Notamacropus eugenii: one gene and its partners. The protein of the gene in region 3 binds, or shares a complex with, the protein of the main gene of each other region. Links are inferred from orthologs where the notes say so. Each region holds a gene or a part of one and is shown on either strand. Other genes may lie near its edges.

Region 1 (7,038 bases), on a different chromosome or scaffold from region 3:
CTGCAGTCTGCACCCACTTTCTCTGGCTGCCTCTGCCCTACAGGTCCTGGATAGGCAGCACCTGGAGCACTGGGAAGGACCATGATAGGCTCATATGGTCTTCCTTCTTTCTGCCCAACTACCCTGGCTCCAGCTTTAGGCCCCAGCTCATGTGGGTAGAGGACATACCTGCCTCCCGATACTGCCCAAACACCAAGTCTGTGTCATCCAGGGCGGCTGCACTGCCCACGTGAGTGCCCTCCTCCCCATAGTTGGTCATGTAAAAGGAGATCCGGCCCTGCATGGAGGAAGGGGAAAAGAATAAAAGGAGGGCCCAAATAGAACATTGTCAGAGAAAGTGGGGAACCTCCCCATCCTTCTACACACAGCTTTCATTTTTCCCTCTCTGGCTGCACCAGCCCACCAGTCACTGCTCCTTTAAGCTCTGACTCTGAGCCAGACACTGTGCTGGGCCCCAGAGATCCAGAGGGTCGGACATTTTCTCTGGAATCCCCCATAGCCCCAGCACTGAGCAGTCACCTTTCCATAATGGGGGCTACTGTCTTAGCCACCCATTGTCAGCCTCCAGAAGAGGACCTCAGGCAGCCCGGGGTTTCTTGTCCCACTTGGGTCTCAGACTGACTCCTGTCCTTTTTTCCCCTTTAAGACATTCTCTCCTCTTCCCCTACCCTCTAAGGCAGGCTCCCAGAAGTCAGCTTTCTGAGTACCTGCATCTTGAGGCTACAGGCTTCAGTCTGCCCTGCCAGGGTCTCTTCCCCAAGCTCCAAGGGCTCCCATGACTCTTTTGACCCCAGGAATGGCCTTGGGGGGAGTGTGTCTAACTGTGGTTCCCCTTCCCAGAGGGCTGGACCCCACTTACCTGCCTCTGGGACTCATAAAGGATTCGGTCCATGGTGTTGAGAAGGGTCATACTTTTGTACAGCTTCAGGACCACCTCCGGAGGCAGCTGAGGACAGAGCAAGCGGAAGGGTGTGGTTGGTGGCAGAGGGCTTGGGGGAAAGGCTTAGGGGGCCATGAGACCCCTGCAAGGTCATCACCTGAGGGTCCTCGCTGGCATTGATGATCTGTCCTTGGCGATCCATAACCCGGTAAACGGGGATGCCAGAAATGACATTGGGTTTTATGAAGTCTAGCTTATCCACAAACTCAGCAGAGGCTCCAGGGAACTGGGGTTTTTCATCCAGGGATGAGAAATCTTCCTGCTGCCAATGGGCGGCCTGAGAAGAAGGGAGGACAAATGTGTCAGAAGGGTGGGGCCCCCACAAGCACCTCCCTCAAATATCAGCAAAAACCTCTTGTGCTTCTGCAAGGAGTGAGCTCTGTCAGGCATGCTGCTGAAGGGGCCTCCTCTCCACTGACACACTGGCCCAGTCACCCTCTGAGGTCCCTCCCAGGCTGCAGCCCTGCTCACATCTTGCCTCCCAAAAGAGGCAATACCCACTGGAGTTTCCTGCCCAGTTAGTTAGGGAGCTGGCAGCCATCCCTGGCAATGCCCTTTTGTGCGCCCAGCAGAACTGGTCACACAGGTGTGGCTCTATGGGGAAGAAGCCTGCCCTCAGGAAGCTTATTTGGGAGTTTGGCCTCCAGCCACCCAGGACAAGTAGAGACAAGGCCTAGAGGCCTTCAGAACTGATAGATCAGTTTTCCACAAAAGGCAGATGGGTGCCAGGGCATGGGTGTGTCCTGGCGGGAATACTAGATTTAGAGAGAAGCAGGCTTTAATCCTGGTTCTGCCAATTAACAGCTAGTGACCCTCCCAATAACCCCAGAGGGGAGGGGCTATAATCCCCATTCAACAGGTGAGGAAACGAGGCAGGCAGAAGCAAAGTAACATGTCTGGGATCATGAAGCTTGTGTGTGAGGCTGAATTACCAGGCCCAGGGCACCAACCACCGTACCACCAGCTGCCTCACTTCTCCCCAGGGGACTGTGGTCAATCCTTACAACTTCCTTGGACCTCTGTTTCCTTATTTATAAAGTTAAACAGGTGGAGTCCCAGGAGGTTTTTAAGAGTTTAGGGATGCAGTGGGTAGAATGCTGAGCCCAGATTCAGGAAGCCCTGAGTTCAAATCCAGCCTGATCTGTTTGCTAGCTGTATAACTTTAAGTCACTTACGTTGTCTGCCTCAGTTTCCTCAACTGTAAAGAGGGGATAATTATATTACTTCCCTACCAGGGTTGGTACAGGGAAGACCAAATGGGATTTAGCATACAGCAGACGCTTCATGAATTCTTATTTCCTTCCTTCTTGCTCTAAACAACAACCCTGGGAGGAAGATCCTATTATCACCACCAGTGGCCCAGCCGGTCTTCTAGCCTGCCTTCCAGCCTGCCCTCCTCTGCCCTTCTCTTTCACACCCCCATGCCTCGATGCCCTTAGGCAGAAACATTCTTTTATTACATGTGTAACTGCAGTGCTCAGCACATGGGAAATGCTTGATAATTTCCCAAATGGAAGGTGGTGAGGGTAGGCCCAGTCTGGCCCAGACAGACACTCCCTCAGAGACACAACTCTGGTCAACTGGCTCCTGCCCAGCCTTGCCCCTGCCAGGCACTTTACAATGGTCTTCCCTAAAGCTGCCTCCCAATGCATAGCCAGGGACCTTCTTCAGGCCCTCAAACACAGCAAACTCGTCCCCACTGGTTGGTTTTGTTGTTGGGTTCTGGTATCAGCAACACTGGCACCAGCACATGGCCCACCTAGTCTGGTCTCTGCCTTCAGAGTACATTTCCATCCATCACCTCAGTATATCCTCAGGCCTTTCCAATGCCAGGGCAGAGCTTGCACTGGATTCAAAGGGACAAATGGCATCTCTGTGTATGGCTTTAAAGTTTGTAAAACTCCTGACACATATCGTCTGATCTCATCTTTACAACAATCTATTTTATAAATGAGGAAACTGAGGCTCAGAATGAAGTGACTTGTTCACAACCAACTGAAGGTCAAAGGCTTCATGTTTTTGTGGTAACAGAGGGTATTCAAAGGATGAGAAAGAAGGTGCCTGTGCCAAGAGAAAGAGTTACCAGAGACAACTGGCCAGGACAATGGAAGACTGCAGATTGTGGGTGGCCTGAGAGCAGCCAGAGGCTCTAGGTGCTGACTGAGACCCTGGGGCTGGATGGGCACAGACAGAATGTCACCACTCCATCAGCTCCCCTCATCCTGCCCTGACAGTTACCGCCACTGCCCACAGGGACACATTCTATTCGTGTGTGTGTGTGTGTGTGTGTGTGTGTGTGTGTGTGAGCATCATGGGAAGGTCTCTTAAAGAGGTCTCTTTCCTCCCCAGTCCCAGTGAGTATGACTAGCCTCCCTTACCTGGACATAGATACTTGAGTGTGCACACTCACACCTCCCTAGCCAACCTCTAGTTCACACACACACAATCACTGGGAATCGGGGTAGAGACTGAAGCACAGTAAGGGCCCATGCCTAGCCCAGCCCCCACCCCATGGAAGCTCCTGGTCCCCCCACTTCTCGGTGATGCCTGTCCCATGAGCTGAGGGGATGAGGAAACTCCAGTTAAGATTCCTATACTGCTTTTAGGCTTACAAAGGACTATCTCATGTTTTTAAAATTCACTTTATCGATCTGCGGATCTTAAAAATGCAAGAAGGAGTTGATCTCAAAGGTCTCAAAGATAAAGGGACCTAAGGAAAAAAGTCCATAAATGACTCAGTCTCACAGATGGACTATCTTTGTACTGAGACTACCTTGGGTCAGGGGCTGAATCTTGTGGCTTTGGTCCCCTGGAAGGACTGGGCCAACTTCAGGAGGCTGACCCAAACCCAACAGACACTGTCAGCCCCATTCTCCCACCCCCCTCTGACTTACCCAGCCTCTGATCACTATAGACACAGCCTAAAGACCCCAAAGAAGCCCCTCTCCCCAACTCTGCCAGGGGTTTACCAGCCCAGGAGGCTCAGAAAGACTATGACCCGGCCAGCAAGGGGAGGAGGTAGCAGTGGACTCAGTCCCCGCCCCCATGATGCTGGTCGGGGGCCACCAAGCCCTCCCTCCCTTTCCAGCCCAGAAAGAGCCCCGCCACCAAGGAACCAGAAAGACCAGAACAGGAACAGCGCCTGGGGACAGACGGTTGGGAAACGAGACCAGGTGACCTTCCCCCGCCCAGGGGGCCCGGCCTCCCTCCCGCCCCCTGGCCCGGCCAATGAGCAGCAGGCACCTGGTCCCTGCCCAGCTCCCGCACAAACAAGTGGAGGCATCCCCACTGAGCTGGGAGCAGACCTTCTCGCTGCCAGGCTGACCCTGCCCTGGTCCTCCGGCAGTCCTGGGGCCCTCTGCCCCAGTCCTGCTTCCCAGGAGGGCCAGGGCTCCCCGGGGCCAGCCCCCTGCCCCTCCCCCGCACCACAGAAAGTCCGCAGGAGCCCCTTCATTCTACACTGGGCCCAGAGACAAGAGGTGTCCCGCCGAAGGTCACCCAGGTGGGGGGCAGGACTGCAGGGAGTTGGGGAATCCTCCCCAGCCTTTCGGGTCTCCCTGCTCCCCCCTCTCCTGGGGGGGTCTCCCCATCCCTCTCTCAGGGGCTCCCGAGGGGAGGGGTCTCTTTCTCTTTCCTGGCGCTCCCCTCGGGGTCCGGGGGCGGGAGCACTCACGGATCCCGCCAATCCGCGAGGGCCCCGCCGGGCCAAGGCCAGCCCCCCTCGCAGGGCCCAGGCTCGTGCCGCCGCCGCCGCCATCTTGACTGAAGCCGTTAACCGTCTCGCTCCGCGACCGCCACCCAGGTTCTCTCCGGGGCCGGCAAGTCCATCGCCTAAAAAGCTGTCCACGCCCACGGCCCCACGTGAGCCGGCCCCGCCTCCAAGCCACCCGGGACGGCCCGCGAGGGAGGCAGCCCCGGTCCGCCACTCCCCCTTAGCTCTGTCCCTCGCCTCAGAGGCCTCGGAGGCGGCGGCGCCTTCAGGCGGAAGTGCGGCCAGCCCTCTGAGCCCGGGTCCTGGTGCGCGCCCCGCCCCTTCACCTCCCCGGGGCTGGGATACGACCGCGGGCCATTTTGATTCCGCCTCCTCTCTCCAGCGACCTAATAGTTCCCTCTGGCCTAGGTCGGGGGCGGGGCTGAGGGAAAACGTGGAATCCAGCCTTTACAAACAAACTTCGCGCAAGCGCGTCGCGATTATGGCTCACGCGCCCTCTTCCGCCAGTCCAGAGGAGGTGGGGAGGGAGGTTGAAATAAGCCGAAACCACGTGCTCAAACAAACAAACTGCTTGCGCATGCTCCCCAAGACCTTCAGGCATGCGCCCTGGCCATCCCGGAAGTAGTTTTGTACTGGCCGGCCTTCACGTGGATTGAGATGGAGACGGAGTTCGCCCCTAGCGCCGGACCCGAAGCGGATCCAAGTTCGCGGGGTTCCGGCTGCAGCCTCCGGCATTTCGCCTGCGAACAGAACCTGCTCTCCCGACCCGATGGCTCCGCCTCTTTCCTGCAGGGTAAGGTGCCATCCTTCCGAACCTTTGCTTCCGGGTAAATACCCGTTTCCGGCTAAATACTCGGGCCCACCGTGAGGGATGGGGGGGGGCCACCATTCCTCAGTAAATTATAAGCACTTTTCCTCCTTCTGGAGGCGAATGCACTTTCAGCACAAGAGAGGGGCAGGTACCCCATTTACTCCCCGCACGTGGGTCAGTAGGTGCCCGTATAAATAGCGATCTCCAACGGGCCGGGGCGGGATCAGGGCTGTTGGTAAAATGCGCCCTTTGGGGGCCTCCCGTTGTCCTCCTTGTCCGGGGCCTGCCCACTTCGGGGTGCACGGGACAAGCTCCCGGACCAGTGAGGCCCCGCCCCCCGCCCCGCGCAGCCTCGTGTTGTGGCCTCGGGCTTCGCTCGGAGAGGCCTGGCGGGGCGGGTCTCCAGCCTCCGTCCCCACCCCCGAGGCCTCCCCTGCTGGCTGGAGGTAAGGAAACCCGCAGGGAGTGGGGAGCCGCGGGCTTCAGTGGAAAAGGCCCGAGTTCTCATCCCGCCTCTGACACGGACTGGCCGGTGGAACGAACCCCTTCCGGTCTTAGTTTCTTTATCTGTCAGGTGGGGGTCATAATAACATTTATGTAACGGGGTTGTTGTCAGGAGCCAACGGGAAACTTGGGAAGTGCACGTCAGCCCTCCGTAGCTCTTATCTTGTCCTTCCCAACTCTCTTCTCGCCCCCATTTGGGTTTTTCCTGGAAGAGATACTGGGGTGGTTGGCCACTTCCTTCCCCATGTCCTCATTTTACAGATGAGGAAACTGAGGCAGCCTTGCCCAGGGTAAGTGTCTGAGGCCAGGTTGAACTCAGGAAGATGAGTCTTGACTTCAGGTGGTGTCACCGGAAGCCTTAGCTGTCATCAAGGGCGTCTCATATAGAGGGAGGTGGGGGTGCTCCCGGAGCCAATGCCTCTTCCTCCTCTGCACCCCTCTCTGCAGGTGACACCTCGGTCCTCGTTGGAGTCTATGGTCCGGCAGAGGTCAAAGTCAGTAAGGAGATCTTCAACAAAGCCACCCTGGAGGTGATTCTGAAGCCCAAAATAGGGCTGCCTGGTGAGCAGGGAAGGGGGTGGGACGCCTCCCCCATCGCCAGAAGCAGACTGAGGGAGCAGCTGATGTTACAGGGATGTTGTCCGGGGCTGCTTGTGTGGTAGCCTAGAGCCGGGGGCAGAGAAGAGATCACCTGCTGGTGATCAGGGGATGGTGAAAACAGACTGGAGCATGGATCCAGCATGGTGAGAAATAGGAAGAGTTCAGAAGCCTGGGAAGACTTCCAGGAACTGATGCAAAGACCAGGCAGGCAGAGCTGGGAACAGGATAGGCCGCAGTGAAACGGGAAGGAACCGAAAGGTGCTCTGTAATCCTCTTCTGTAAACACTGCCCAGCTGTGACTTCCTAGAGAAGAGGTGTGCCTTCCTCCTGTGTTTGTAAAGATGAAGGAAAGAAAGCTTTTATTTTGTAAAATTTCTATTTTTTCCATGTAAAGATAATTTTCAGCATTCACTTTTGTAAGATCTTGAGTTCCAAATTTTTTTCTCCCTCCCTTCCCTCCGCCTTTCCCCA
Region 2 (6,796 bases), about 230 Mb from region 3:
AAACGGTCTGGAACCCCAGAGCCATTTGGTTGTCCCAGAGAACTTTCTGGAGAAGAAGGAGATGGGGAGCTTGGGGTAGGTGGGACTTCTAAAAAATGACCCTGTCTAATGCCTCTTCCCTAAGCTACTGCTCCGAGGGCCTGCTTCTGTCTCTGGGCTCCTGGGAAGGGAAGGTACTTGAACCAAACCCTAGGGATCCCAGCAAGAGTAGCAGAGGGAATGGAGGAGGGGGCAGTCATCATGGCACCAGGCCCTGGCATGCATAGTGAATGGGAGAGCAAGCCTTGGAGGCAAGAAGGATAGCCTCTGGTCCCTCCTCTGGCATGTGCCAGATGATCCTGGGCAAGTCGCTAACAGCCCTCAGCTCCACAGAGCAGCTCGTTAAGATGATAAACTTTGAGCTGATGCAGCTCTCTGACCTGCACCTGGGTCCAGTTCCTGTCTGGAATTGAAGGTGTGTTGTGTTCTCTTAGGAGATCAAGCCCCACTCTGGTGAGTAGGGCCTGAGTGTCAGTGGCACGGGGTGCTTCCCAACTGAAAAACAGCTCTGTTGACCTGCCAAGATGCATGTCTCTAGTACTGAATAGCCCCAGGCTGTGCCCTCCATGGCCTCTGTTCACAAGAAGAAGACAACCACTTGGATACTTGGCTCAGGTTAATCCTGGCGAGAAGCAGTAGCTGGGCTTCCAGAAGAATTAAGAAGCCCCTTACTCAGAAGAGCCTGGCCATGAGGAGGGGCCGGGGCTGTGGTGTTCAGCAAACTAGCAGCACCAGCTTCAAACCAGGCTGTGACTGCCTTCACAGACCAGAGAGCCTTCCAGGGAACACAGCATGTACAAGAAAAGGGATCTGAGGACAGGTGGCAGCCAGGCTGAGTCCTGAAGATGGCCACTGTAAGAAAGGGGTGGGTTACAGGCAGAGGTGGCGTTTCTAGCCCGTGCTGAAGAATGAGTATATTATCCTAGGGGCTGGAGGAGAGCCGTGGGAATGACTTTGTCCACTGTATGAAAGATGGGAGAGGGAGAGACCAGAGACAAGGTGCAGGGAGGCAAATGGAAGCTTCTAGTCCAGGTGGACTAGGATGGTGAATCTGGGGGGAGGGAAGTGGGGGATCATGCAAGAGACGTTTGAAGGAGGTAGAACCCACTAAACTAGACGATGATGAGAAAGGAATACGAGGTGAAGAGGAGAGAATCCTCCGGGGCATCCTCCAAAGTAAGCAGGAGGGGTCTAGGTGGAAAGAGATGTTTCCACTTTAGTTTTATCTTTAAGTGACCCACACAAAATACCCCCAACTCAGGATCATCTTTAAGTGAGTTTAATGTCAGCCACCTGGGACCAGCGCTGGTCACGGTATTGGATGCAGATACCAGGGCTGTTTGGTAATGGCTTTGTGTATGCACTGGTAGTGGCATGGTGCATGCTGGTCTTCTGCTTCTGCTTCTTTGCTCTATATCAGCTCAAGTCTTCCCAGGAAAGTCCAGAATCCTTCCCCAGAACTAGCTCGAAGGCCTGGCCAGCCTGGAGTCTTTAAAGGCCAAGACTGTTCTCGGGCTTTCCAATTATGAACTTAAACGTCAACAAACATTTCAATGTACAAAGAACAGAAAAGAGGCTTGCTTGTGAAACTGAAACTTAGTTTTTTAAAGTATATATTAAATTTAACATAGTAACAAAACTGCCTGATTGTTTTCCACTTCCAAACTTTATTTTATTTTTTCCTTACTCTCACTAACCAACTCCCTATCCCCTACTTCCCCTCAAACAGAGGCCCTTCCTTGTAGCAAAACGTATCAATGCAACGTGTGCCTCGACCTGCAATGGATTCCATCATCTACCTGTTTGCTAAAATGGAAAGGTGGGACCCCTGCTTCATCCTCAGTCCTCTGAAGCCTTGACCAGTCACTACATTGCCCTGAGTTCTAATGTCTTTCAATGTTTTCATTTCTGTTTTTTTCATCAATCAATGTAGAAATTGTTCCCATTTTCCTCCCTTCACTTTAGGTAACACTTTCTCCCCTTTGATCAAGTCTAGGTTTTTTTAGGAAGACAGGGAAAATGTAGATTGTACTGATGGAGCCAACAGATGAGGAAAGACAGTAAACAAGAAAGAATCATCAAATGGCCTGACTTCAGCAGCAGCAGCTTCCTCAGCCTAAAGTAAAAGACAGGAAGACACAGACGGGTTTGGATATGTGGGCATCAGCAGGCACTCGATGAGCTGGCTCCTCCCAGGCAGATGTGCAGAGTCCTGTGCAGGCCTCTTGTCCTTTGTGTGCTTTCAAGATTGCAGAGGTACTAGAGCTCGTGTATGTAATGCTTTTAAAGTCTGCCAATCACCATCCTTGCAGCATGTCTTCTTGTGAGGAAACTGCAGCAGGATCCTCACTTTAGGGAGAAAATGCTGTTGAAGCTCTTGAAATGAAATGACACTGTCCAGGTGAGATTTGAACCCAGTGCCTCTGAGGCTTGAGGAGATCTGAAAATCTACGAGGCAGTGGTTGAGGGGATAGGAAGTGGATGAATGAATGAATGAATGCATTAAGCACCCAACACACAAATCACTGTGATGCATTCATTCCCTATCAAATATCAAGCTTTTTATTAAGCACGGCCACTGGTATGTCCCACAGAGCCTGCTGAGTGCTGGGAATACAGAGAAAAGCTGCACAGCGCTAGGCCTAAGGACCTTCCACACAAAAGATCAGACGAGCCAACCTGGGACAGCAAGGCCACCTTCTGTGGCCCATGCTTAGACAGACTCTTGAGGGAAACCAAGGATTCCATGGACCAAGGAGAGATCAAATTGTGGGGGGTGGAGATGGGGTGCAAGCATGCAGTGTGAGGGACACAGCAAACCCGAAACCCTCCAAGAGAGCATGGGCCTTTGTTCCAAACAGAGGTCTGCCTGGGCAGGCAGCATCCTCCTTGCAGTCTAATGTTCAAACCTGTCATCCTTGCCTTTTCACCACACATACCCCTCTAAAATAGGGGGAAGCAGCTACCATAGCATAGTCAAGAGTTCTGCTTTCCCAGTCTCATAGATTCTGATAGTATTTAGTTAGCATTTTAAAGTTTGCAAACCACAAATATCTGATTTAATTCTCACAACTCTGGGAGGAAAGAGGTTAATAATGTGTCGCCTAGGATCACACAGCTAGTGTCTTGAGCCCAGATTTAGAGACTCCCCTGCCACCTCTGCCTCCAGCCCCATTGCCCAGGGACCACCACCTGGGTTACGCTCTTTTCCCTGCTTGCGTGGACTCCTTCTTTACTTCATCTCTCCACCCCATCCCTCCTTCACAAAACTGCCTAAAGCACAGGTCTGACTATATAGCCTTCCCCTGTTCAATAAATCCCAGTGATCCTATTAGATGTTCTAAGATTCAGCATAAATTCCTGGGGCATCAAATGCCCTTTACTAAACTTTCCAACTTTTCACATACTTTGTGGGCCCTGCCAAGTGGACCTTACTTCCCAGTGCCCACAACACTCCCATCTCCAATCTTACAAAAATCTTCCAGAATGAAGGACTAAGAACCACCAATACCTCCGACACACTCCTTCCTCACTTGCCTGTTTGAATCCTGAGTTCCCTTCAAAACTCAAAATCAAAGACCATCTACAAGAACCCTTTCCTAATCTCTGATTCCCTCTCCACAAGCTGCAAGTCAGTCAGGGTGGAATGGCGGTAGGGTGAAGATAAAACTCAGAATGGTCCATATCTAGACTCTAAAGTTCGCACAGCATTTCAGAGACGTTGCATGTAGGTTATGGAGATTGAGATTACTGAAAGTGGGAGTCAGGGTGTCTGAGAGGACATCAGCCTCCACCTTGAAGCCCCAAATTTGAGGGTTGGGAGTGGAACAAAAGGACCTAGGGACTAAATCTGAAAAAGGGAGGACGACCTGGTTGCCAGTAGAATGGCAGGGTGTTCTGCACAGCCAAGAATATTATGCTTCTGTCCAAGGTACATGGGGACCTCTCTGGCTCGGTCTGTCCTGGCACCAGGGCAGAACAGGACACATACAAAGTAGTGAAGTCCTGGTGGGACTGGAAGTAGAGAAGAGCCTGACCAAGAATCTTAATGGTAACTAATGGGCTGTGGGGGTGCTGCCCTCTGAGGTGCGTACAAGCCTGCAGATGCCCTGGCTGCAGCCCTTCAGGCTGCATGCATGTCCGCGGGCGCCCTCGGAGGTGGATGCTGGCCCGCAGGTGCCCTGGCTGCAGCCCTTAGAGGTGCATGCATGTCCGCGGGTGCCCTCGGAGGTGGATGCTGGCCCGCAGGTGCCCTGGCTGCAGCCCTTAGAGGTGCATGCATGTCCGCGGGTGCCCTCGGAGGTGGATGCTGGCCCGCAGGTGCCCTGGCTGCAGCCCTTCAAGCATGCAGGTCCGCGGGTGCCCCCGGAGGTGGATGCTGGCCCGCAGGTGCCCTGGCTGCAGCCCTTCAAGCATGCACGTCCGCGGGTGCCCTCGGAGGTGGATGCTGGCCCGCAGGTGCCCTGGCTGCAGCCCTTCAAGCATGCAGGTCCGCGGGTGCCCTCGGAGGTGGATGCTGGCCCGCAGGTGCCCTGGCTGCAGCCCTTCAAGCATGCAGGTCCGCCGGTGCCCCCGGAGGTGGATGCTGGCCCGCAGGTGCCCTGGCTGCAGCCCTTCAAGCATGCAGGTCCGCGGGTGCCCTCGGAGGTGGATGCTGGCCCGCAGGTGCCCTGGCTGCAGCCCTTCAGGCTGCATGCAGGTCCGCGGGTGCCCCCGGAGGTGCATGCATGCTCGTAGGCGCACGGGTTGCCGCTCTCGGAGGTGCATGGGAGCCTGTGGGTGGTGCCCTCAGAGGTGCACGTGCGTGGCCTTCTCGGGCCCAGGGCGCCTGCGCACTCGGAGCCCGAGGACGCTCGCACTCCCCCGGACAGCAGGGGGCAGCAGCGCTCTCCTCAGGCGGGCGGAAGCTGCGAGGGCTCCACGCCGGCCGCGAGCGGAAGCGGCCGGCGGCGTGGGACGCGGAGGCGCCCGCGAGCCGCAGTCATGCCCGGAGACCACCGGCGCATCCGCGGGCCCGAGGAGTCGCAGCCGCCCTCGCTGTACGTGGTGCGCTCCGGGCCCGACGACGACGACGACGACGGGGACGGGGCGGCGGGGCCCCGGGACCCCTCGCGCCTGCGGCCGGTGTACGCGCGCGCCGGGCTGCTGAGCCAGGCCAAGGGCTCGGCCTACCTGGAGGCCGGCCGCACCAAGGTGCTGTGCGCCGTGTCCGGGCCGCGGCCGGTGGAGGGCGAGCGCGCGGGGGCGGCGGGCGGCGCGGGCGGCCGCCTGGTCTGCGACTTCCGGCGGGCGCCCTTCTCGGGCCCGCGGCGCCGGCGGCCGGCGGGCGCGGCGGGGGCCGGCGGGGGCGGGGCGGAGGAGCGCGAGCTGGCGCTGGCCCTGCAGGAGGCGCTCGAGCCGGCCGTGCGCCTGGGCCGCTACCCGCGCGCGCAGCTCGAGGTGTCGGCGCTGCTGCTGGAGGACGGCGGCTCGGCGCTGGCCGCCGCGCTCACGGCCGCGGGCCTGGCGCTGGCCGACGCGGGCGTCGAGATGTACGACCTGGTGGTGGGCTGCGCGCTGAGCCGCGGCGCGGGCGCCGACGCCGCCTGGCAGCTGGACCCCACGCGGCGCGAGGAGGAGCGCGCGGCCGCCGGCCTCACGGTGGCGCTCATGCCCGTGCTCAACCAGGTGGCCGGCCTGCTGGGCAGCGGCGAGGCCTGCGCGGCCGAGAGCTGGGCGGGCGCCGTGCGCCTGGGCCTCGAGGGCTGCCAGCGCCTCTACCCGGTGCTGCAGCAGTGCCTGCTGAGGGCGGCGCGCCGGCGGGGGGGCGCGGGGCCCGGGGCCGCCGCCCCCGAGAGCCTCGAGGCCCCCGAGGCCGGGGCCGCCGACGGAGAGACCCCCGAGGCTGCCGACCCCGTGGCCTGAGCGGAGGACTGTACGGACCGCCCCTCATCGGCGCCCGCTGCCCTGGAGCCCCCGCCGCAGGAGCGGACCCCCCATCCTCCTGCCCCGCACAGCCCCGGGATCCCCGCCCCCAACGAGGACAGCGTGACCCCCGAGGCTGCTGACCCTGTGGCCTGAGCGGGAGGACAGGTGGAATCCCCCCTCATCGGCACCCGCTGCCCACGCCCGGAGCCCTGCCTGGACCACGGACCGCATCACTGCCCCCCCCCCCCCCCCCCCCCCCCGCCTGGTGGGACCGAGCACCTCGGGGCCACCGAGCCAGTTGTTCGTTTGTATCGAATAAAAGATTCTCTGGTGTTTTGCACGCGGGCTTCTTTGTGACGCCTTCTCTCGTTCACAGTTTGCCCCGCGCGCCTCTCCTCGTTTCCCCTCTGAGGGCCAGGTAAGGGGTGGCTGCTGTGTGCCAAGCCTCGTGCTCTGACTGCAGGGCGGGGCCGGAAGCCTGTTAGGCGGTTCTCTGCCATCGCAGGGCTTGAGGCTGGTCCGCCTGCGCCAGGTCCGTGCAGCTTTGGGTCCACTGGAAATCCGTGGCCTCCCAGCACCCTGCTACAAGTTGTCTTGGGACCCTCCCCCCCCCCCCCGGGGCCAAATTTAGTTTCGCTCAAGGCATGTTTTTGTCCCCCAAGGTGGTCACAGTTGTTGGATGTGACCCTAGAGAGTGCCACCTTTGAGGTTGCTGAGGCACTGCTGAGACAAAGCTGTAATGCATTTAAAGGAAACACTGCCTAAGGCTGGTGCTGCTGCTCAGACTTCACTAAAAAGCAGCTGTGCACCTCCCTGAGCAGCTTTGCCCACCCACTTGGTCTCAGTTTCT
Region 3 (7,713 bases):
TATCTGCAGATAGGTCTGGAAAAACAGTCACTAGAACAGAGGAGAAGTTTTAGGGATTGTGACCCTTTGTAACAGAGAGGGATGCTGACTATGAATTATAGCGATGCACTGATTCTCTAAGATGAGAAAAAGAAAGAGCAACATCCAGGGAGAACTTCATGAGGACTTCATGGAGGGAGAAAAGGACTTTCAGGGCCAAGAGTGGGGAGGTACCCTTTTGCCACAAGTGTTCTCTGTCTATACTTTGCTTCACTGCCATTATTTAAGCCCATTGCCTTTAAATTTGTCAGCTCTCCCCATAGGGGTAACGTTTATAAACAAGGAGTGAGTATCCCTAGTTTCTTTAGGAGTGGGGAAAGTAGAATGTTTAGTACCAACTATTCTTTACCTTTCAGTAAATCCCTTTTTCTAAAAACTAATGGTGGCAACTGGCTAATTATTATCACACAGGTGGGCACACAGAAACTATAGTACTAGAAACCCCCTAGCATTAGGACTACCCTGAAAACCCTCAGGGGAGAAGTGGTCAGCCCAGCTCTGAGGACTTCATGTAAGGAAAAACTTTCTAACAGTTAGAACAATTTAACAGTGGAACATGGTATTAAGAGGTAGTAAGGTTTTCCTCGTGGGAAGTCTTCAAGGAAGGGCTGAGTGGCAACATGGGTATATTGTCAGAGGGATCCCTGTCTTTTTGGCCACGTTTGGGTTGGACTTAACGTCCCCCTATTCCCATCCTACACCTTCCCAGATCTCTTCAACCTTTGAGATTATGAGATTCTGATTATATGATTTTAAAATCACTACCAGTCCTATCATAAGGATAACAAGATATAGAAAAATAAAATCATATTTTAGTTAGAAGGATCCTAAAATGGTCATCCAGTCCAACATTCTGTTTTACTTAAGGTTAACTGGCTTGCTCAGTCACGTATTAGTGACTGAGGCAGTGCGACAGACTCTATATATGCATCCATATCCTCTGACTTCAAATGCAAAGTTCTTTCCCCAGTACCACACTGTCTCTTAGAAGAGATTACGAAAGCACTTTGAAAACTAAAGAGACATAAAATGTTTCATTTATTTTAAAATATATTTTATTTATATCATTAAATATTTCCCAATAACATGTAAAAATTTTTAACATACTTTAAAAAAAATTTTGAGTTCCAAATTCTCTCCTTCTCTCTCCTCCTCCCCCACTGCTTGAGAAGGCAAGAAATATGATATTGCGTATATGTGTGAAGTTGTGAAGACATATTTCCATATTAGTCATGTTGCAAAAGAATAAATGCACACACAAAACAAGAAAAATAAATTAAGAAAAATTTGCTTCAAACTGCCAGTAGAGTCTGTCAGCTGTATGAATTTGATTCTCTCTTTTAAAGAATTATTTTGTTTAGTGATCTTTTGAACCTTCTTTTCCATTTGGCTAATTCTGCTTTTTAAAGCCTCCTTCTCCTCATTGGCTTTTTGGACCTCTTTTTTCAATTGAGTTATCCTCTTTTTAAGGGTGTTATTTTCCTCAGCAATTTTTTTTGGTTCTCCTTTAGCAGGCTGCTGACATGCTTTTCAAGCTCTTGTATGGCCTGAGCCCATTTCATATTCATTTTGGAGGTACTGGAGGCAGAGGCCTTGACTTCCTCTGACAGTATGCCTTGTTCTTCCTCATCTGAAAGGATGGAAGGAGACACCTGTTCTCCAAGAAAGTAACCTTCTATGGTCTTATTTTTTCCCCTTTTTTGGGCATTTTCCCAGCCAGTTACTTGACTTCTGAATCCTTTGTCAAGAGGAGGGAGTCTGTCAGCTCTCTCTGAAAGTGGACAACATTTTTCACGATGGGTCTTTTGGAGTTGTCTTGTATCATTTTCTTGATCAGAGTACTAAGTCTTTCACAGTTAACCATTCTTACAATTGAGAAAGGAATCAGAATTTTCATATTAATGGACATGATAATGTGGAATGAATATACTAATAATTTAATTTTCTCAAGAGTTGCCTCTCCAGCTAGTGAATCAGACTCATAATGCAGTCAAACTTTGACAATGCTCACAGTTACCAACATCCTTGTGCCTACACACCTGAAATGAGGCTAATCAAAAATTATAGAGCCTGTTCTGGTTACAGAATTCTGGTCCTGTGATCCACCAAGTAATGACCTCCTAAAGACTCAAGTAATATTGCTCCCGCAGAACTCCAGAATTGTTTATTGTTTGTAATCCATCTTCCCCCCTCCCTTCCCATTGTGAATTATGTATATAATCTCTGTCTTCACTTAAGCAAGGTGGAATTCTGATTAGGGGAATTCCCAATTTGCAAATCTGTTCCTTATAGTGAAACTAATTAATTAAATAGCTACCTGATTACTGGCACTTTGTCTCTGGCCTGCTATTTCATCCTTCTCAGGTTAGAGACTGACTCAGTAAAGTCCTGTTAACACAATATTTCTGTCACTGTATATACTGTTCTCCTGGTTCTGTTCACTTCACTTTGCATCAGTTCATAGAAGTCTTCCCAGATTTTCCTGAAACCATCCTGCTTATCATACAATAATATTCCATCACAATCATGTACCACAATTTGTTCAGCCATTCCTCAATTGATGGGTATCCTATAGTGTGGCAGAAACTAGACATAGACCATAGACCAATGCCTGACACCATACACAAGGATAAAGTTCAAATAGGTATATGATCTAGATATAAAGATTGATACTATAAACAAATTAGTGGAACAAGGAATACTGTATCAGATTTATGGAGAAGGGAAAAATTTTTGACTAAACAAGAGATACAAAGCATTATGAAGTGCAAAATAGATAATTTTGATTACATTAAACTGAAAAGTTTTTGTACAACCAAACCCAAGGCAATCAAGATTAGGAGGGAAACAGAAAACTGGGAAAGACCTTTTGCAACTAGTGTCTGTGATAAAGGCCTCATTTCTAAATTACATAAAGAATTGAGCCAAATGTACAAGAATAAAAGTCATTCCCCAATTGATGAATGGTCAAAGGATATGAACAGGCAGTTTTCAGAGGAAGAAATTAAAACTATCTATACTCATATGAAAAAACACTCTAAATCACTATTGATTAGAGAAATGCAAATCAAAACAACTCTGAGGTACCACATCACACCTATCAGATTGGTTAACATGACAAAACAGGAAGATGATAAATGTTGGAGAAGATGTGGGAGAGTTGAAACACTAATTCATTGTTGGTGGAGCTGTGAGCTGATCCAACCATTCTGGAGAGCAATTTGGAGCTATGCTCAAAGGGCTACAAAAATGTGCATACTCTTTGACCCAGCAATATCACTTCTATGACTCTATCCCAATGAGATCATAGAAATGGGAAAGGGTCCCACATGTACACAAATATTTATAGGAGCTCTCTTTGTGGGTGCCAAAAACTGGAAATCAAGGGGATGTCCATCAATTGGGGAATGGCTGAATAAATTGTGGTATATGAATGTAATGGAATACTCTTGTGCTGTAAGAAATGATGAACAGGAAGACTTCAGAGAGACCGGGCAAGACTTATATGAACTGATGCAGAGTGAAAGGAGCAGAACCAGGAGAACTTTGTGCACAGCAACAACCACAGTGTGGGAGGAATCTTTCTGGTAGATTCAGTACTTCACTGCAATGCAAGGACTTAAATAATTCCCAATGGTCTCTTAAGGCAAAATGCCTTCCACATCCAGGGAAAGAACTGTGGGATTCGATTGCAGAATGTACCAGATCATTTTCTTTTGTATTATGTTTTGGTTTGTTTTATGATTTCTCCTGTTCATTTTAATTCTTCTATGCAACATGACTATGGTGAAAATATATTTAATAGGAATGGATGTGTAGAACCTATATAAAACTGTATGCTGTCTCAGGGAGGGAGTGAGAAGGTAGAGAAGGAAGAGGGGTAAGGAGGGGAAAAATAGAAGATACATGGAAGTGATTGTAGAACACTGAAAACAAATAAAAGAAAAAAAATTGATAGGTATCCCTCTCTAATTTTCAAATCTTTGCTATCACAAGAAGATGGACTATAAATATTTTTGAACAAATAAGTTCTTTCCCCTTTACTTTAATCTCTTTTTCCTACATATCTAGTATTGCTGGGCCAAAGGGTTTAAAACAGTTCTATAACCTTTTGGGCAGAAGGGTTGGACTAATTCGCAACTCTACTTCTCCACCGTTTGTCATTTTCCCTTTTTGTCATATTAGCCAGTCTGAAAGGTGTGAGCTGGTACCTCAGCGTTGTTTTAATTTGAATTTTTCTATTCAATAGTGATTCAGTCTAGAGCATTTTTTCATGTGGCTATTGATAGTTTTTATTTTTTCTGAAAACTTTCTATTCATATCCTTTGACCATTTATCAATTGGGAAATGAGAATCATAAAATGTTAAGGAATTAATGTTATTCTATTATTTAAAATTTTCCTTCCCCAAGCAATAATTTTAAGCCTACGACGTCTAAGTCCTATCCCCATTAAAGTAGTGTATTGGAGCCAATGTTAACGGCGGGGAAGGGGTCGCCAGTAGTAAATATGGGAACTTCATTTGCTCTTCCCCTTCATTTAAGTACTTGAAACTACTCATAGTCCTTCATTCCAATAAAAAAGATGGCCGTCCAGCAGCGGGTCCCCATTGGTAGCTATCTAAGTAAGTGCCGCCCCTTTTTCGTCCCGCCCCCCACTTTGCTCCGCCCCATTTCATTTTCTGGCTGCCAGTAGTTCTAGAACCGGAAACAGCCTCTCTAGGGTCGGGTGCGCTTGCGCGGCCCTCTGGGCTTCAAGATGGCGATGGAGATTCGGCTTCCTGTGGCTCGCCAGCGGCTACCTGAGAGTTTGGACCGGGACACGCAGAAGCACTTGGTGGTGCCCGGGGACACGATCACTACGGACACCGGCTTCATGCGGTGCGCGGCAGGGGCTCCGGTCAGGCTCCCATAGAGCCTTCCTTAACGTGCTTCTCGGGCTTCCTCTTTCCCTTCCCTAAGACCCGCGTGTTCCCGCCCGCACGAGTCTCTGTCCCCGCGTGTCCTTGCGTATCCCTTTCTTCCGTGGCTTTTCCCTGAGTGCCCTTGCAGGTGCCCACTGTCCTCACACCTGTTCCTGCACGGCCTTGGGTCCTCCCGTCCCTCTTCCCAAGTGTCCGTGCGTCCAGCTGCGTGCCAGGAGCGGCGCTCCACGATGGGGATAAGAAGGTTCCGCAGCCCCTGCCCCCCGGTAGCGCCGAGGGGGAGAGCAGGCGGGGCCCGCGGCCTTGGGTGACGGCTGGGTCTTGTTGCAGGGGCCATGGGACCTACATGGGAGATGAGAAGCTGATAGCCTCGGTGGCCGGCTCCGTGGAGAGGGTGAACAAGCTGATCTGCGTGAAGGCCTTGAAAACGAGGTGTGTCTGCTCCGCCCCGGGGGTGGCCGCGGCGGGGCTTTGGGGGGCCCAGCCTAGGTTGTAAAGCCTACTCTGAAGGTGGGGGAAATGGGGCTAAATCCTTTATTTATTTATTTAAACATCGTTAAGTGCAAGTGATACCGGCAGAAACCTCTGGAGAACGGAGTGGGGATGGACCAGAACTTCGGTTCTTGGTGTAATTCTGGATATTCTTTAACGGCAAACGAGCACTTCTCTTGTCTAGCCATAATTTTCCTTGTTAGGTTACGGAGAGGCTTGACATTTGTGTTAGTTCTAAAGCGGGAGTAAATTCCTCAAGGATTAAACCACACTCATATATCCTTGGTGGTATCGGAAAGTGAAATACTCTCATAGCCTTCAGTGACTTGTAGTCTAGCTGGGCTGAAATGCATAAAAAGCGAAGTGACACATAAGGGTTAAATGAAGCAGTACAAGAGAGGTGGTAAAGAAGTACAGCAACTAATCAGAGTAACAACAAACTTGGATCACTGCATTGAACAGTCATGACTCCAGAAAACTGGTGACAAAGCATGCCCTACATCTCTTGTCAAGAAAGTGATGGGCTAGAAGCACAGGATGAGACCTACATTTTCAAATCTGGCCAGTGCATTGAATTGTTTTGCTTAACTATACTAATTTGTTAAAATGGAGGCTTTCTATTGGTGTTGAGAGTTAGTGGGGATTGATAGAGATGTAGAAAAAAGGAAAAGATCATTGATAGGACATTTTTAAAAAGTGCACAGAAAATAAGTTCCAAATGGGACACCTAGAGCAGTTTTGTTACCAGTATCTTAAATTTAGTATATGCTTGAAAAAACCCAAACTGTTACAGAAGTTTACACTTTCATATACAATCCTTGTTTTTATTGCTTCTCTTCTGAAATATTTGTGTTTGTGGATGATTATTAAATTCATAGAAAAGAAAATTGAAAAATATAAATTTTCTAATGATTGACTTGTCTTTTTCAGGTATAATGGGGAAGTAGGAGACATTGTGGTGGGGAGAATCACAGAGGTAAAGTTTGAATCAAGAAGTTTGTTTTTAAAAAAATTCTGAATTTCACAAGCAAACAGGGAATGTTTCTATGTATATAAAGTAGAACAGAAGACAATTATGTGTGAAACCATAACTTTCTTGTATCCTTTAAAAAAGTATATGAGTCATCATGTTACTTTTAAAGTTGTTTTGCTTATGGAAATAAGTGTAGTCAACACATTTTGCCAAGCCCTAAAATGTACAAGTGCATCTTTTGTCCATCAACCTTCTTCTAGAATTGTGAGTAGTCGTTGATTTGGTTAAAGTTCTTAAAAGACTTTTGAGTTGAATTTATTTTTTAAGCTCCTTTCACTCATCTTCAGTTCATATAAGTCTTTCTAGCTTTCTCTGAAACTGTCACTTTCAACGACTCTTACGGTACAATCAGTCACCACTATTTTCCTGTACTGTAAGCTGTTTGGTGATTCCCCAAATGACTGAATACTCTTTTTGTTTCCAGTTCTTTGCTGCAACAAAGAGAACAGCTATAATTATTTTCATACACATGGATTTTTTTCCTCTTTATTTGATCTCTTTGGTGTGTAGGCTTAGAAGTGTCATTGCTTGATCAAATGGTACAAACACACAGCTTAGTGACTTGGGGCATAGATTCAAATTACTTTTCAGGATGGCTGAACCAATTCGTAGAGATTGTGTGCTTTAAAAAAAGTCAAACCTGTGACACAATTTTTGGTAGAGGACTGTCCTGTATTTTGTAATGCATGATTAGTTAAATTGTAATTTGTGTTGTTTTTGTTGCAGAAATTTAGGCTGTAATATTTGGGGTCACTGACTGTCCAGAGTCTGGATTCATGTAATTTGAGTCAGTAACTCTAGAATTTCTTACTTTGTAGGTTCAACAGAAGCGGTGGAAGGTGGAGACCAATTCCAGGCTGGATTCAGTCTTGCTTCTGTCATCCATGAACCTTCCAGGAGGAGAGCTGGTGAGCGTTTGCAGCTAAATTCCATTTTCCTGCTGTCCAGCCTTAGCTACTAAAGCTTGGGATTTCTACACAGACAGTGGACATCACTGGCATGTTCCATTATTGCTCTAAGAAAATGTAGAGGAAATTTACTGGTAGGATTAAAACATCATTCTTTTAAGTGATGGAGTGCTAAATTTTTTCAACATAGGCAATGTTTATTCTTACTTTAATGTAACATGAAATATTATTTGAAAGGTCCGTATACAACAAGAACTAAGACCCCTGGTTCTGTTCATTTTCCTGCTCCAACTCTGTACTGCTTTACACAGACAGCAT
Region 4 (7,452 bases), on a different chromosome or scaffold from region 3:
CCACTAAAAACTATACATAAGGACCTCTCTGGGCAACATGTTTTTTATTCTAAGTTATCGTGTTTAATATTTCCCAATTACATTTTAATTTGGTTCAGGCTACGCTTGGGAAGTGTTGTAGGCTGCATTGAGGCTACATTTTTGACACCTCTGCTCTAAAACAGCAGTTCTTCTCCTCTTTTTTGGGTCTTGGATCCTCATTCTGTCAGTTTGATGAAGTGTACGGCCCTTTAGAACATTTTTAAAAACACACACAAAAATATATAGCTTTATAAAGGAAACCAATTATGCTATAATGCAGTTATCAAAATATATTGAGTCCAGGTTAAGAATGCATCTGTCTAAAGACATGCATTCCTCTCTCCCTATGCAGCAGTTCTGGAGTCAGCCTTTTCTTCCCACCTCCAATCCAGTAGACATCCCGGCTAGGAAAATCTTACTTTGAGACATCTCTACTTTCTCTATACCAAATATCCATCTTCTGTTCCTAAAATCCAGTCTCATATCACTCTAACCACACAAGTTTTCTTTAGTCTTTCAATGCAACACACCTCTGCAAAAAACATACCCCTACACGTCTGCAGCATGGGGACCCTTGGAGGTGACCTTCCCTTTGCTGACTTGACCTTGTCTGTATGTTGTCATCTGCATGTTGTCTCCCCCATCAGACTTTGACATCCTTGTGCCATTCTTTGTACCCCCATTTCTTAGTACAGTGCCTGGTACATAGCAGACACCTAATAAATGCTTATCGACTGACTAGCTGATGTATTCCCACTCACTCATTTTACAGATGAGGAAACTAAAACACAGTGAAGTTAAGTTACTTACAGCAAAGGTCACATCATTCGAAGTTGTGCTGCCTGAATTGACTACAATCAGGTCATTTGACTACAAAATCAATACTCCTGCATGGCCACTTTGTATGGGAGGAGTAGGGAGAATGATACCATCTGTCTCCTCTTCCAGTAGCACAAAGTCTTAGATAGTAAAGAACCATGTGCTTTTTACCTCAGTTCAGTGAGATGGAGCCTTGTGGATACTCAAATATTAACCAATAAAAAATTCTACTGAGAGCTGAGGCAAGGGGGAGGGTGGGAGGGTTCTTAGCAGGGTGCATTAAAGTGCTTTCAAAGGTGATTAAAAATGGCCAGATGGGAGTACATAGGCACCAGATATTTTACTGGAGAACATTCCATACTGACAAAGTTTGGAGGAAAGAGTCGTTTTACTTTGGAGAAAAAAGAGGATTCAGTGAGAGTATGAGTTATTAAAACTCAACTTTTTCCATAATAGCTCTTTAAAATCCACTTTTTTCCTTTGACAAATATCGTTTGAAATTTCTTCTGCCCAGTCTTGATTACTAAGAAAAATGGATTCCCAGGGTGATCTTAGCCTTACCTTGCAGGTATTATGCATTTAAAAGACAATGCCCACCTCAACCACCACAGCAAAGCCAGGGCTTACGTTTCCTTGGAGCACTGCCTAAAACTCACCACCTACCCAGAAAAATGCTGGAACTAAGAGGCCTGGCTTGTTGGCTAGTGGAGATGGCTACAGCTGGGCCTCCTCAGCCTCTCCTTGCCCGGGCGCTAGGTCCTCAGAAGCTCCTTTCTCAACATTCATTCTGCAGCCCTCCCTCGAAGACAGGCAAGCACCAGGTTTTCAAGAAATGCTGCTAGTGCCTGCCATGGGTCACACGATATGGCCAGATTCTATTTGCCACCCCCTCCCCCCCAACCTTCCCCAGTCTCCAAGCAGACCATGGGCAGCAGCCTCCTACTGGGCACCATGTCCATCATGAAGTGCTCTTCCACTCACAGCTGTCCCCTCCCACTATCAGTCAACTCACAAAAAGACCAGGAAGTGAGCTGCAAGGAAGTATTCCTCAGTTCCTTCCACAAACTACTCTCCCCTTAAAATCTCAGAAATCGAGAAAAGAACACCCCCACCCATCTTATCAGATTTAGGTGGTGAGAAGTAAAAAGGGAAGAGTCAAAGCATGGGAGGAGGGGAGGAAAGCCTGGGCAGAAGAGCTTCAGATGGAGGGGGGTATTCATCACTCAATCCCAGACGCACAGAGCTGGAAGGGACTTCAGAGGCCCTATCATTCTAATAATTAAATAGTAATTGCTTCTCTTTTACCCAGGAAACCTGAGGGTCTTCCTCTCCCAGTTCAATTTTTTTTTAAAGGGGTAACTATTTAATTGAATGGGTGTATCTCACTCAAAGTGAGAACATGATAAGACCTTAACCTGAAAGGGCCAGGGTCTCACATTGCACTTATCAGGCCACTGGATGCTGATGGCTCAGGAGAAGAAAGCGAGGCCAGTGACCTTGCACAGCCCTCCCTCACTCAGATCAAAGTCAACTGCAAGTCATGTCATCGTCTTGATGTCACGGTCCTCTTCGAGAACAAAGGACAAACACAGCAACAATCATTCTACCAGTAAAGAAGAATCCTCTCTATAGCACATGGGTCATGCAGTATTGGCTTTGAGACGTTCAGAGATTGAATTGTTGGGGTGTTTTTCCTCACTCCAACCCCATCCCCCCACACAAGAGCCCTTCAGTTGAAGATGGCCATCCATGTTGCACAGTCCCTTCTTTCCCCCTCACTCCTGCATCTTTTACCTGCCTTTTACCACCCTAATCCCTCCATTCTTTCTGGAGAGTATCTTGTCAAAGTCCTTCCTAAAAGGAAGGGACCCTAAACAGAACATAAGATCCAGATGTGATCTGGTGAGAGAAGAAAACTGTGGGTTGAGTACCTCCTTAGTTCTGGGCACTGTCTCCCTAAAGTGGACCAGTATGGCATCAGCTACTGTGGTCAATGTATATGACACCATTAACTCATGCTGAGCTTTGTCGATGTAATTAGCTATATATGTCATTTACAAACTTGATAAGTTTTTAATATGTCTTTATCCAATTCACTGACTAGAAAAGTTCAAATAGCACAGGACCAAGGAGGCAGTGTGGCACAGTGCAAAGAGGGCTGCATTTGAAGTGAAAAGGCCTGGGTTCAGCTCCATCTGTGCAACCCTAAACAAGCCCCTTATCCTCTCTGGGCACCGGTTTCCTCCTCTATAAAGTGAGGGGGCTGATTAAATGACTCTGAGGTTGAACTAGTACTAAATCTACTCTACTATCTACCCAACAAACTTTTATTCATCAGCATTTACAACATGCAGAGCATTCTGTTAGGCAATGAAAAAAAATCACCTACATAAAGGTTTAGAAAGGCTTTCAGCTCAATCTTGGGAGATAGATCTGTATTAGTCTTCCCACTTTATAGATGAGGGAGCCGATTTTGAGGAAGGTTAAGTGATTTGCTCATGGTCACACTGCCAAAAGTCAGACTGGTTCAGAGATTTGAATCTTCTCAAAATCCAGGACCTTTTCGCCTTCGAGCGGAGGTGAAGAAAGGAAAGAGGGGAGGCAAGGGCAGGGGCACAAGGCTGTGGGGGTAAGGGGAGGCAGGAAGAGGGGCAGGGAAAAGAGGAGCGAGGGGAGAGACAGAAGGTGATAGGGGATGCGGAAGAGGCAAGTTGAAAAAGGGAGCAAAGGATAGGGCAGGGGAGAGACAGAGATCGAGGGAAGGGCAAGGGGAACAGGGACCAAAGAGTAATGCGGGGACGGGGTGAAAAGTGGAGGCGGCAAGGGGGGAAGGGCAAAGGGAGGGGCGAGGGATGATAGTGGAGCGGGGGAAGGGAAATGGGGAACAAAGGGAGGGGCAGGAGAGTAATAGGGGAGCAAGGGAGGGGCAGGAGGTAATAGAGAGGGAGGAGGGAAAGGGAAGCAAAGGGAGGAGCAAAGAGTAATAGGGGAACAAGGGGAGGGGCAGGAGGTAATAGAGAGGGAGGAGGGAAAGGTGAGCAAAGGGAGGGGCAGAAGAATAATAGGGGAACAAGGGGAGGGGCAGGAGGTAATAGAGAGGGAGGAGGGAAAGGGGAGCAAAGGGAGGGGCAGGAGTAACAGAGGAGCAGAAGGGGGGGTGATAAAGGAGAGGGGGAGGGGCAGCAGGTGGCACGCGAGCAGGGGGAAAGGGCAGCTGAAGAGGAGTGCCGGACGGAAAGGCAGCAAGTGTGGGACCCGGGAAAGTGGAAAGGGGTGAGTGGTGGGGCAAGGGGAGCACGCAGCCCCGGGGCAGCGGCTCGCTCCGGCAGACTTCGCTAAACTCCGGCGCCCAGGAAGAGACTCCCGGCCGGCCGGCAGGTGCCCCGGCCGCCCTCTGGCCCTCGGTCCGTCCCCAGCTGCCCCCCGGCGCCGCCGCCCCCTCGCCCTCCCGCCCTCGCTCTGGGGGCCGCTGCCGCTCCGGGGCTCGGGGGCCGCGGCTCCCGGGACTCACCCAGACTTCGGGGCGGGGCGCAGGAGCAGCCCATCGGGCTCTCAGGCGGGAGGCAGCAGCGGCGGCAGGAGCGGCCGCCGCTCGCTGATGACGCGGCGGGAGCGGCCCCAGGGGCCCTGGCGCGGGCGGATGACGCCACAGTCGTGCGGGGAGCGCGACGTCCGGAGCGGCGCCGAGGCGGAGGGCTCTGAGGCGGCGGCGACGGCGGCCGAAGCGTGGCCGGACGGGGCCTCATGGCGTCCGTGGCGCTGAGCGAGGCGGAAAAGGTGTACATCGTGCACGGTGTGCAGGTAACGAGCGAGGAGGCGAGGCGAGGCCCGGACCCCTCCTGCCTCGGCCCCGGCGCGCTCCCCCTCAGCCTTCCCAGACGCCCCCTACGCGCGTGCGCCCTGCCCTCCCTTGGTCGTTCGGAGGCTCTGCGCGCGCACGTGGGGGCCGGTGTTTGGGGAAAAGGCTTAGAGATGGTCTACTGTAGAGCTGGAGTAAGGGATCTCAGACTACCCTTTCTTACAGATGGGGAAACTGAGGCCCCAGGAGGAGAGTAAGTGCCTGGCCCCAAGCCCCGTAGAGTTAATTAAGCTCGGAGGACTGTGGTGAGCCTCCAGTGAGATGTTTGTCAAGCTCATTGTAAACGTCTGGACGTGTTAGTGTTCCCCAGAGTCGGTCAGGCAGCAGAGAACTGGAACCCAGACCGTCCACCTCTGGGTCAGATAAGCTGCTTTTGTCTGTTAAGCGCTTCTTCTGGCCCTGGCCTCCCCTTCCGAGGTGGCCTCGGCGCTTGGCGGCATCCTGATGTTACATTGTAGCTGCTCAGGCATCCTCCTGTTACATTGTAGCTGGGCTCGAAGTCGGGGTCCGGAGGCTGGCACTTTCTCTGACTCCCCGGAACTGTGGTTTTTATCCCAGACGAAGAGACCTACAGAGCACCTTTCTTTAGCTCCAAACGTTGCCCGGGTTAGCTTCTCCCATCAGTACCATAAATTTCCCAGATCCAGCTCGGGTTGAAGGAAACTCAGAAGTTCCTGTTAGAAATAGGGTAGGAATGTTGGACCCAGAAAGGGAAAGTATTCCTGCCTACCTGAGTATTACCTCCCCGAATAGCAGATGATGTACTCTTTGTCAGAGTTCTTTGAAAAATAACAATTTTATAGGTGGGTGAGGTGATGTTGTGAAAAAGATTTCACAGTTGGCACAATTGCATTGGAAGCTAAGACAGAGCTGTCAGTTACCCCTAGGATTTGGCAATTTACGTACCAGAAGGTGTTGGGATGGTTTATTTGGCTTGAAAGTTGGCAATCAACCTCTGAAAGCGACATCCCTTCCCCCACCCCCCCCAAAAACCAGAAAACCACAACAAAATGTCAGCCTTTCTCTGCTGTCATCCTTACTGTCCCAAGCCACTGCTACATTCTATTGCCTCCTTTCCTCTCTATTGCCCTTCTCCTCCCCTCCATATAATCACACTTAAAGCTAGATGCCTGCCCAACTCATTATGTTTTATTGGCTAGGATCATTAGTCCTCTCTGTTGTAGATTAATGCAGATTTGTTTTTCAATTGTTCCTCTCTGCCTTCTCCATTATCTCTGTTTTATAGCTGAGGAAACTGAAGTACACAGTAGCAATTTACCCTGGTTGAATTTTCAGCCTTAAGAGAAATAGAGAGAGCTCGATTCCATCTTTTTAATCTCCAGTTTATCCAACTGGACCATATGCATTCTCCCTGGGAAGCTGGGGAAGTGGAAAGGAGAGCTATTAATGAAGCTTCACTAAACAAATCACCTGGGTCTTCCATGGCAGTTCTTTGCATGTGCCACATTTAGTCACTTGACTTCCTCCACAAAAGGATGCTTTTTCACTATACCAGGTTTGGTTGGATGTGTCTGAAATTATATCTATTTATTTTGCCTCTTATTTTCTTTTTTTCACACCTTGCTCATCCCCTCTCACTGGGAGTTTAGTCACCTTGGGTCAGATGTCCATTCTGCATTTCGGTATTTTGTCTCTAGTAGTGTCAACAAGGCATAGGGTGTTTTTTTTAAAAACAAACCCAACAGTTTGTTAATCCCCCATGGTTTATCCTTTGCCCAATCTGTCTAGTCTTGACAAGAACATGTCCCCTAATTCTGTGGTGGCTATTTTTAATGACCTTGGCTGTACAACAACATTTCCACAAACTATTGCATGGAATCCTACTGTTCTATGTGATAGGGACAGAAGTTCCATGAGAGTTATAATTATACTTTTCTAAAACATTAAATATGAAATTATGTCTTTACAAAAAATTAAATACAGCATCTTTCAGTATGAAAATAGGGTTAATTTTCTCTCCTGCTCCATAATTTCATAATTTCCCACTCTATTTAAAAGTTTAAAAATTTCTTCTTAAGGGAAGTTTATTTTGAGGTTTGTTGGTGGGGGAGGCAGGGAGGCAAATGGAGCTACACAGCTAGTGTCTGAGGCTGAATTTGAACCCAGGTCCTTCCGACTCCAGGGCTCGTCCTCTATCCACTGCTCCACCTAGCTGCTCTTGGAAAATGTTCTTTAAAGTTTTATTAATACTTTTACTGTCACTTTGTTATATAACATTGCCTCATCCCTCTCTTGTAACTACCCCTCCCCCAAATAATCCACTTATACAAAATCAAACAATACAGCATTTGTATCTGATGATGTAGGCAACATATGCTCCGCTACTCCATTGTCTCTTCCTAATGGGCAGAGAAGTGGGTTCCAATGTCTGTCTTCTGGTCACAGCATTTACTCTTACCTTTGTTTTTGTGTCAGAGTGGTCATTGTGTACATGTTAGAATCACAGAATTTGGAAAGAACCTCAGTGGCCGTCCAGGCCAACTGAAATCTGATCAGTTATTCTTCTGCTTTTGCTTCGTTCAACCCTCCTCAGGTCACTTTGGCAAACCTTTGTTAAGTGCCTACTGTGTGCTAAGTGCTGGGGATGCCAAGACAAAAACAAAACAGTTCCTGACACCAAGTAGCTTAAATTCTGCTAGGGGGAAACAACATGGACATGGATAAGTAAAGAAAAAGTAATGTTTTTGGTGAGGGAGGAGCAGAGAGCACCAAAAAATAGGGAAGGTTCCATC

Evidence for each region.
Region 1: EXOSC2 (region 3) and EXOSC5 share a complex: the UniProt entries of both Homo sapiens proteins name them as parts of the RNA exosome core complex. The link is inferred for Notamacropus eugenii from reciprocal best matches to the Homo sapiens genes EXOSC2 and EXOSC5.
Region 2: EXOSC2 (region 3) and EXOSC6 share a complex: the UniProt entries of both Homo sapiens proteins name them as parts of the RNA exosome core complex. The link is inferred for Notamacropus eugenii from reciprocal best matches to the Homo sapiens genes EXOSC2 and EXOSC6.
Region 4: EXOSC2 (region 3) and EXOSC7 share a complex: the UniProt entries of both Homo sapiens proteins name them as parts of the RNA exosome core complex. The link is inferred for Notamacropus eugenii from reciprocal best matches to the Homo sapiens genes EXOSC2 and EXOSC7.

What each region holds. Positions count from the first base shown.
Region 1 is NC_092876.1:29,841,243-29,848,280, forward strand, and holds the start of EXOSC5 (exosome complex component RRP46), read left to right. Parts: upstream 1-4,027; 5' UTR 4,028-4,113; intron 4,114-4,613; coding exon of another isoform or gene 4,614-4,822; intron 4,823-4,824; coding exon of another isoform or gene 4,825-5,034; intron 5,035-5,036; coding exon of another isoform or gene 5,037-5,253; 5' UTR 5,254-5,309; coding exon 5,310-5,445; intron 5,446-6,414; coding exon 6,415-6,528; intron 6,529-7,038. UniProt on the Homo sapiens protein: Non-catalytic component of the RNA exosome complex which has 3'->5' exoribonuclease activity and participates in a multitude of cellular RNA processing and degradation events.
Region 2 is NC_092872.1:713,908,010-713,914,805, reverse strand, and holds EXOSC6 (exosome complex component MTR3), read left to right. Parts: upstream 1-4,939; 5' UTR 4,940-5,022; coding exon 5,023-5,943; 3' UTR 5,944-6,286; downstream 6,287-6,796. UniProt on the Homo sapiens protein: Non-catalytic component of the RNA exosome complex which has 3'->5' exoribonuclease activity and participates in a multitude of cellular RNA processing and degradation events.
Region 3 is NC_092872.1:482,371,915-482,379,627, forward strand, and holds the start of EXOSC2 (exosome complex component RRP4), read left to right. Parts: upstream 1-4,706; 5' UTR 4,707-4,796; coding exon 4,797-4,918; intron 4,919-5,292; coding exon 5,293-5,394; intron 5,395-6,384; coding exon 6,385-6,430; intron 6,431-7,305; coding exon 7,306-7,395; intron 7,396-7,713. UniProt on the Homo sapiens protein: Non-catalytic component of the RNA exosome complex which has 3'->5' exoribonuclease activity and participates in a multitude of cellular RNA processing and degradation events.
Region 4 is NC_092874.1:43,356,060-43,363,511, reverse strand, and holds the start of EXOSC7 (exosome complex component RRP42), read left to right. Parts: upstream 1-4,445; 5' UTR 4,446-4,584; coding exon 4,585-4,641; intron 4,642-7,452. UniProt on the Homo sapiens protein: Non-catalytic component of the RNA exosome complex which has 3'->5' exoribonuclease activity and participates in a multitude of cellular RNA processing and degradation events.